Cricetulus griseus: one gene and its partner. The protein of the gene in region 1 interacts with the protein of each later gene in a biochemical or structural test. Links are inferred from orthologs where the notes say so. Each region holds a gene or a part of one and is shown on either strand. Other genes may lie near its edges.

Region 1 (4,324 bases):
ATCGTGTCACTCTCCTTAAGAGGGGGGGGGGAGACACTGAGACTGTACCTGGCAAACATGTGTTCACACATGCAAACCTCTTGTCCCCTTTACTAACTATCTTGCTGTTTGCTCATGGCAGCAAAAACCCGGGCAGCTGACCTGTTGGTGAACCCTCTGGATCCACAGAATGCAGATAAAATTAGAGTAAAAATTGCTGATCTGGGAAATGCTTGTTGGGTGGTAAGTAGAGTTTTCTTTTTACATTTTAATGATGATATTGTGTGAGAACATGCTTCTTTTAAAACAATATGTATCACCTCTATTCCATTCCAGCATAAACATTTTACAGAGGACATCCAGACTCGGCAGTATAGGTCCATAGAGGTTCTGATCGGAGCTGGCTACAGCACACCTGCAGACATCTGGAGTACAGCTTGCATGGTGAGGACCCCTTTGTTATGTTTTTATTTAAAGAGAGGAAAAGAGAAAGCTGAAGGATGAGACATGTTGACTAGTTTATTATATGGGCCTGGCAGAGTAGGAAGACTAGGAGAAGAGGAACAGGGGTAATGGTTGACTGCCATAGCCGGTCGTCATAGAGGCAGAGAGAGTGCATAGGTGAGAGAGAGCCAAGAAGAAACAGAGGAGAGTAGAGAGGAAGCAGAGAGAGAGAAGCGGGAAGTTGGGACTTTTAAAGGGAAGACTGCGCATGCGCACTTAGGTTCCACGCATGCCCAGAGTCGTCATGGGTGACAGGTGACGTAGTGATGACGTAGAACGTTTTCTTGGGCATGCCCTGACTGTTCAGGGGTCAGGGTCTGTCTCTTAAAGAGGTAGAGCCAATCAGCATCAAAGCCTGAACCTTTCACTCTTGCCACTCTTCTTTCCCTGGAAATGACTTCTGGTGGATCCTCTTGATGAGTGGAATCATGCTGGAGATTTATAAAGTGGGGGAGGAGAAGATTGTGCTTGGGTGTTACAAGCATTGGAAGAATTCTCCTCAGATATGCTAGAGGTATAGTCTGTGACAGATGGTCTCTTCTTTGGGCACCGTGCAGCCCAGTGCCCCAAGAATCAGACTTCATTGGAGGAATTGCTTTTAGTTTCTGGAAGTTTTCACGTGTATCAGGCTCCCTGTTACACTATGAGGTAAAGCCAAATGCCTTCTCACACGAGTGGGGTGACTGTACTTAAAAGTTTGTACCACTGGAAGGTGGCCTCTCCCAGAGGTCTTGAGATTTCTCCATCTGCCAGTGCACAGTTGCTTTTATTGTAACTCAAATGCAGAGAGTTCTGCCCCTTTTTTTGGCATGTGCTTGCTTTCCTGAGACAGCATTGGTGGCACAGACTTCCTGGGTTTGAGTCTGTTTCCCTGGAACACAGTGTTGTTTTCCTGGAGGCAGCAGGAACATCCCTTTGATTTGAACATTCTGAATTTTTGTCTTTGTAAGCTAAACCCAGACTCACCACACATCATGCACACAAGTACACATGTGTATATAGCTGCGTGCACATATGCATGCATGTGAGTGTAAAAGACAGGTCATCCTTGGGTGTTACTCTTCAGTCATCCACCTTGTTTTCTTGAGACAAGCTATCTCATTGTTCTAGAGCTCTTGGTTAGGTTAGGCTGGCTGCACTGAGCACCAGGGCTTGTTTGTTTCCACCTCTCTAATGCTGGTTTACAAGCCCATGCTGCCATGCCTGGCCTTTGTGTGTGTAAGTTCTGGAGATCAAACTCATGGGCTTCCATGGTAGACACTTTAACAACTGAGCCATTGCTTCAGCGCAACTCTTTTTATTTGTCCCATTTTTAAAATGTAGTCCAGACTGGTCTCAAAACTCGTTTCCTGAGTGCTGAGGTTACGACATAGCTACTGCACCAGGCTTTTGTGTACCGTTTGCTATTTGCTCTGATCTGAATTGGTGACCCTGAGTAGGTCCTCACCTGTGAGCTAATACCAGTTTGTCTTTCACTGAGCATCCAGCCAGTTCAGCACATTCTTCTCACTGGGCTTTTGTTGTTCTTTGGTAGAAAAGGTGGCATGCGTGTGTTCATGTAGCTTCCAGTGCTGCCATGGCTATCCTATAGTATTGCTTAAGTTTTTTGTAGTTCCAGGGATGGAGCCCAGAGGTTCACCCCCACTAGCCAAGTATGCAAGGCTTAGTGCTCACCTTCTGAAAGGGCAGGTAGGAGGGAGCAGAATAAATATGATGGTTACCTGTTGTTCAGAACTTAATTTAATCACTGTTTTGAATCTTCTGTATTTTATGTCCAGTAGTGCTAATATAAAGCCATTTTAACTATTTAAAAACTTTTGGCCAGTTGTGTTGATGCACACATTTAGTCTCAGCACTTGGGAGGCAAAGACAGGCAGATCTCTGTGAGTTCGAGGCCAGCCAAGGCCACACAGAGAAACCCTGCCTTGAAAACCCCCTCTCTATCTATCTATTCATATTCATATTCATATTCATATCTGTGTGTCATTATGCATGCCTGGTGCCTGTGGAGGTCAAAAGAGGGTGTCTCATCCCCTGGGACTGGTGTTGCCACTGAGCTGCCGTGTCTATATTATTCTAGAAGCTGAACCTGGGTCCTCTGCAATAGTAGCACATGCTCTTAACTGCTGAGCCATCTCTCCAGTCCAATGTAAAAGCATTTTGTTAAGCAGATGATACAGGGTGATGTGAGAAACATGAGATGCTTTTCATCTTTCAAGTTATCACTATCTGAAATTATTGATGTGGCCTGGCCAGACATGAAACACCATGCCTTCCTAGACTCTTGTTCTAGTAACTCCAGAAAATAAATGTAAAATTATTAAAAACTTTTGTTTTTCAATAAGAACCTACAGTCAAGTTCTTAGTGTTTGAAAGAAGCTACCGTCCATGTGATAGGTACTTCCTTTTGAGGATTTGTGTGGAGAGGCTTTTGTTCTGCAGTTTGAGGGTAGAGGAAGTAGAGGCTAAAATTACAGGAGGCAGAGGCCAGGTCAGAAGGAAATGACTTCCTTGACAGAATGGGCAGTGTGTGTCTCCCATTTCAGGCTGTGGCAAGGCAAATTGCTATTTGTCCTCAGCAATACAGAAGGCCGTGGGTCAGGAATTCTGTGTTACCTCTTTGTACATAGGTGTCCTTGTCCAAATAGGGGAGGGAGCTCTTGTGTCTCCCTGGTGAGTCCTGGTTATCAGCAGAATGAAAAAAAAAAAAAACAAAACAAAACTTAGGACAAATTATTGTCACGTGTATTTGCTTCCTCCTCCATGGCTTGTTCTCTAGGAAGAACAGTGACTTCACTCACAACCTTGCAGGCTTGTTCCTTTGGAAAGCTCCCACCGCAGTCACTGGACTGACAAAAGCCTCCAGCTCTAAGCACCCCCAGAACTGACAACAGACAGGACCCAGGGAAACAGAAAGAGACTCCAGAGTTGCCTAATATTGAATACAAACAATAGAACTTGACATAGAGAACAGCTTAGTCAGTAGGTGGCAATAATGTTTCCTGTTTCCACAGCTGCTAGCATTAAACATGTGTTTTCATTGTCACGTGTGTTTACCCTGTTGTCTGTTGTATTAAGAAAGCTAATCACTCTTTCTATCCAGGGAGCCATTCTCCCTTTCTCTTTTTCTAATTCTCTCTCTTTTTTTGTTTCCCTCTTTAAAAAAGATTTATTTTATGTGTTTGGGTCCTTTGCCTGCATGTATATCTGTGTACCACATGTAGGTGGATTCCATGGAGGCCCGAGGAGAATATCAGATCCTATGGAACTGTAGTTACAGACAGTTGTGAGACTACCATGTGGGAACTGAACCCTGGGCCTCTGCTCTTAAGCAGCCAGTGCTATTAATCCCTGAGCCATCTCTCCAGCCCCATCCTCTTCTTCTTCTTCTTCTTTTTAAATCATTTCATTGATAGCCTTCTCTAAGCACTACATTGGAAACCTGAGTGCTGTTCAAAACAACCATCTTTTAAAGGACATCTGTCTTTGCCCATCTCAATGTTGGGCAAAGAGAAGTAGCCTCAATGAAAAGGGTGAGCACAAGCCTCAAGAGGGACTAACTCGGATGGAAGGTTTTCCTTGGAACCAGGATCCCAGTAGCTTCTAAAGTCTCTTCCATCCTGTTAGAATTTCCAAATTTCCCTCCTGATTTGCAGGTTATTGACTTATTTTACCGGCATGAGACATTCTCATCCACTTGGAATTGGGGCCAAATGAAAAGTTTTCTTTATCATATTGGTCCAGCTGCCATGCTTGTTAATTTGGTGGCTAGGTGTGGGGCCCCACCAGAGAACCTCTGTGCACTGTGCCCTTGTCCTTGCTGTAGCTGTAATGCTGGGCT
Region 2 (4,806 bases), on another chromosome or scaffold:
TCCAACCTGTGAGTTCCTAGATTCTAGCTTAATGTCAAGGGCCAATATTGTCATTTTGCAGGTCCTAATTTTGCTTTTTCAATTGGAATGTTGAGGACAAGTGACAGAACTTGGCTTGTTAGAGCACCGGTTGTGATCTTCTATTTGAAAACACTACTTTCTTACATTCAAATATAAAGATCAGCATTTAATTTAAGTACAAATTCGATGTTATGTAATTCACAGTTCAATCCAAAACACTGAACTCAATTTCACAGAATTCAGAAACCTCCAAACATCCAAATATTGTCCTCTAATACAGCTCTTTAAAAAAATTGTAATTCTGGACGGACGGTGGTGGTGCAAGCCATTAATCCCAGCACTCCGGAAGCAGAGGCAGGTGGAGGCCAGCCTGGCCTACAGAGTGAGTTCCAGGTTAGCCATAGTTACACAGTGAAACCCTGTCTCGAAAAACCAAAAAGTAAATCAACAAATAAATACACAGTAATTTTGAAAAAGCCAGGCATGGTGGAACACACCTTTAATCCCAGAGCCCGAGAGGCATACACAGTAATTTTGAAAAAGCCAGGCATGGTGGAACACACCTTTAATCCCAGAGCCCGAGAGGCAGAGGCAGTCTCTGAGTTCGTGGCTAGCCTGGTTCAGAGCGAGATCCAGGACAGCCAAGAAGACAACACAGTGAAATACTGTCTCGGAAAAAAAAAAAAAAAACCCACAGTGCGACTATTCGACTTCTATGGACAAGTAAAATGGCCTGCCTCATCATTGCAGTTTCACTCGTACTAACCCTCAGCAGGCATCTCTCATCTCAAGCCTTAGGACAACCACTTGACAAGGTTACATTCTGTTCTAGGCTAGCCCCTAGAAAGTAGAAAGCGGGCCATTAGACTTTCTCTTTTGTGACTGGCGATGAAAGCCTCCCCCACCCCCCAAGGGCAACCCATTTGGAGAGGATTCCTGAGCAGGCCGGGACGCCAAAGCACAAGAGATAACTTAGAGAAAGTCTCTCTCTGGGCGCAATCGCTAGTTGATAAAGTGGAGAAGAGCATCAGCTTCGCCGTTCCATAGAAAACGTTGCGAGGGTTTTTCAGAGGCAGTGCTTATGAAAAGCCAGAGCCTTAGGCACCCGAGGGCAAGCCACACACACACACTTCTCTGAGGTGGACTTCCGGCTTCCACAGGGCAAACACTCGGTTTCCCGCAGAGCAGGAAGTATTCCAGGACCTTGGTGGAGCCAAGAAGGGTCTGTTTGCTAGCAGAGAACAGTGCCCGCCACTTAATAGGTGCTTGGTGCATGTGTGTGGACCGAAATCATTAAGTCTGTGAAGAACGAGCCGCACTCACCACGCCGAAGCTTGCCAGGTCTGGCCGCTGCCTGGCGCTTTCCACCGCCTCCAGTCCAGGCACTCGGGGAGCTAGCTACACAAGGCTCGCCCGTCCGAGCTGGGGTCCTCCCGGGACAGCCAGCTGCGCTGCGCACCCACCGCACGCGCCAGAGTCGGAATGGAAGGCAGAGCAAAAACTTTTCCCGCCACTAGCCGTAACTCCGCCCACAGCCTGATCCCGATTGGCGTTCTCAACCATGTCGCCACGCCTACCCAGGGCTCATGACGTATTTCCGCCATCGCTGATGCCCGCCCTGCGTAGTTCCGGGGAAGTGTTCAGCGTCGCAGTTTCCGCTTCCAAGCGGGTTGCTTTCAGCTGTTAGAAGGGTTTCCCCAGCCTCTGAAGGTCTTTTTTTAAACCTGGATGTGACGTATTGAAGAAGCCGACGGAAATAGAATCGAAAGCGTTCTAAAATGGCGAACCGTACGGTCAAGGATGCCCACAGCATCCATGGCACCAACCCTCAGTATCTGGTGGAGAAGATCATTCGGACTCGAATCTATGAATCAAAGTACTGGAAAGAGGAATGCTTTGGACTTACGGGTGAGTGACAGAGTGCGGCCCGCGTCTCGGCCTTGCGGCTGGCTTCTTCTAATTCAATGAGGAAGGATAGACCCTCGGGTGTTGGTACTGCAAAAGAGTATGTCAACCATTCACATAAATAGCTGTGTGCCTAGACCCGTACCAGACAGGACACAGACAAAGCTGACAGGGACTCTCTTGATGCTGAAGGGTTTCTTTAGGTTCTTTGAGCCGTTCCAGGCTGGCCTCGAACTCAGAGATCTGCCTGCCTCTGCCTCCCGAGTGCTGGGATTAAAGGCGTGCGCCACCACCGCCCCGCATGTGATGGTATTGACAAGACTTTTTTCTGCACGATTTGTTGGATAAAGATCGAAGACTCATGAGCCACACCCTTCCTTGACGGACTACAAATAATTAATGGGGGCTGGGATAAGGGGTATTTCTTTCTTCAATGGGGTAGCCCCAGGCAGTCATTTTTTATTACTATTGTTAAGAAGCACCTGTTCTCCCAGTATTAATTAAATTCTTGTTGACTATTTAGCAGCTCTAAACATCTGTTTCACCTTCCAACCAAGAAAAGCTAAGACCTTTATTATGTCTAAGATGTCACTATTTGTGTTTGATTATTTCAGCTGAACTTGTAGTCGACAAAGCCATGGAGTTAAGGTTTGTGGGTGGTGTCTATGGTGGAAACATAAAGCCAACTCCTTTCCTGTGTTTAACCTTGAAGATGCTTCAAATTCAACCTGAGAAAGATATCATTGTTGAGTTCATAAAAAATGAAGATTTCAAGTGAGTACAATGTTGACTAGTACAAAAATTTTAGTGGTTCAGAATTTGGCTTTGTTAGTAGGACTGAGTGTTATATGTTTAATTTTCACGGGCTTTTGCCCTTGAATTTTGTATTTTGGCTGTTGTGATTATGTAGACCTTCTACTTTATCAGTCTTGGTAACTTCCCCTTCTCCCAAAAGTATTTCACAAATTAAATAAATTCATGCAAATACCTGTACATGTACAGATACACACTATGTCATCAAAATGATATGTTGGTAGGCAGTAGATATGGGAATCATACAACATAGAATTTTAGTTAACAGGTTAAATCTGTATCTTATCCAGACTTTGCTACCTATTGACTGTGAGCCTCTTTAATTTTTTAAGCATAGCAATGCATGGTAACCATAATAAACTGCTCCATATTTATTATCCATTCTCTAGGCGTTCAGAGTCAGGTAAATAGCTAATTATGTACCATGATGTGTTTAAGGGTTCTACATATAGGGATTCTTTTTTTTTTTTTTTTTTTCACTCCACCAATTTAAAAATATGATACCTGTTTTACTTGTGAAGAAACTGAGACTCCCGGAGAGATTGTCAGTAATTTGCCTAAGGTCAGATGAGTATGTGGCAGGTCTGGGCTGAGATAAAGCTTGGTAGTAGAAGAAATGGTAGTAGAAGAAAAGTTTTATCCCCCATTGTGAATTGGGGAGGCAAAGCTGGCTTCAGAGTACACTTTCTTCCTGTGGGTTTTGTTTTGTTTTTTTAATTGAGATAGTGCCTTACTATGTAGTGCTGGCTGGCCTTGTATTTATGGCAGTTCTCTGTCCTCTGCCTCCTGAGTGCTCAGCCTCAGCTACAACTCATGTCAGAGTACATATTCTCTGTGATAGTGCTCTTCTCATAAGATGGATCTTGGATTTCAGATGGAGATTTGAGTAAGGAATTGAATACATGAAAAAGGAAAAAGAAGGAATATTACCAAAAAAGAAAAAAGAAAAAGGCTAGAAAAATAGCTAATTTTGTATGCTCATGTCCTTCTGACACAGTTTTCTTTGCATTTTTTTATGGCACCAAGGCAGTAAATTAGGTTGCAGCTTTCCATTTTAGAGGTTGAGAAAATAAGCTTCATGTCTGCTATCAAAGTTAGTAATATATGAAGTCAGAATTTTAACCTCTATGACTTTGATCTTTTTCCAGAACCTGTTTGTGGCTATGTATGCTTGTTCTAGCATTGTTGTAAAATGTATATAATGCCTTGTGTTAAATTTATTATCTTTCTGGAACCTTAGGCTAATTCTTTTTTTTTTTTTTTTTTTTTTTTGGTTTTTCAAGATAGGGTTTCTCTGTGGCTTTTGGCTTAGGCTAATTCTGTGAAGTTTTACAGATAATATATTTGAAAGCTCCCCTAGCCAGTAATCCATAGATGAGAAAGTTCATTAGGTCTCCATATTTTAGCCATCATCTGTTCTATGGTACCTTCAATATTATGACTTTCTTACCTGATAATGAGAAGGAAAACAAACTTTTATCTGCTATTGTCATGAGAAAAGCCAGTTATAACACTCAGGAACTCTTAGGATGGCTTGTTGCGTCAATATCTTTTCTCTGTTAGGTATGTCCGCATGTTGGGGGCACTTTACATGAGGCTGACAGGAACTGCAATTGATTGCTACAAGTACTTGGAACCTTTGTACAATGACTATCGAAAAATCAAGAGCCAGAACCGAAATGGGGGTGAGTATGATACCAAGTCTCTAGACTATAATTCCTGGGCCATTTGTATTTCCCCTGTATCTCTACTCATTTTTATATACATTAAATCTTTCTCTTCATCTGCATGATGGCTGTCTTCACCCAAATTTTCCATCTCCCCCACTGGTTGGCCTTAACCCTTTTGGTACATGGCTGCCTCCCTTTCCAGCGGCATTTTATGCTCAACACTGACTTACATCAGATATATCTTCCATACCTGTTCCATCCACAAGATCTGGAAGCTTAAAAATGGTTTCTCTATAAAACCTGAATTAGCCTGCCCCAAGTAATTTTCCAAATATTACAACTTCACATTTTTTTCCCCCTTGCAGGCCACTTATCTACGACTCTATTCCATGCTATA

What was found. The genes of interacting proteins can lie anywhere in the genome.
Region 2: of the proteins of Srpk2 (region 1) and Prpf38a, one has a biochemical effect on the other in vitro, tested with the Homo sapiens proteins (2 studies listed by BioGRID and IntAct). The link is inferred for Cricetulus griseus from reciprocal best matches to the Homo sapiens genes SRPK2 and PRPF38A.

The regions. Positions count from the first base shown.
Region 1 is NW_023276806.1:171,093,520-171,097,843, forward strand, and holds part of Srpk2 (SRSF protein kinase 2), read left to right. Parts: intron 1-121; coding exon 122-222; intron 223-315; coding exon 316-423; intron 424-4,324. UniProt on the Homo sapiens protein: Serine/arginine-rich protein-specific kinase which specifically phosphorylates its substrates at serine residues located in regions rich in arginine/serine dipeptides, known as RS domains and is involved in the phosphorylation of SR splicing factors and the regulation of splicing.
Region 2 is NC_048595.1:41,238,170-41,242,975, forward strand, and holds the start of Prpf38a (pre-mRNA-splicing factor 38A), read left to right. Parts: upstream 1-1,664; 5' UTR 1,665-1,799; coding exon 1,800-1,929; intron 1,930-2,540; coding exon 2,541-2,700; intron 2,701-4,302; coding exon 4,303-4,424; intron 4,425-4,806. UniProt on the Homo sapiens protein: Involved in pre-mRNA splicing as a component of the spliceosome.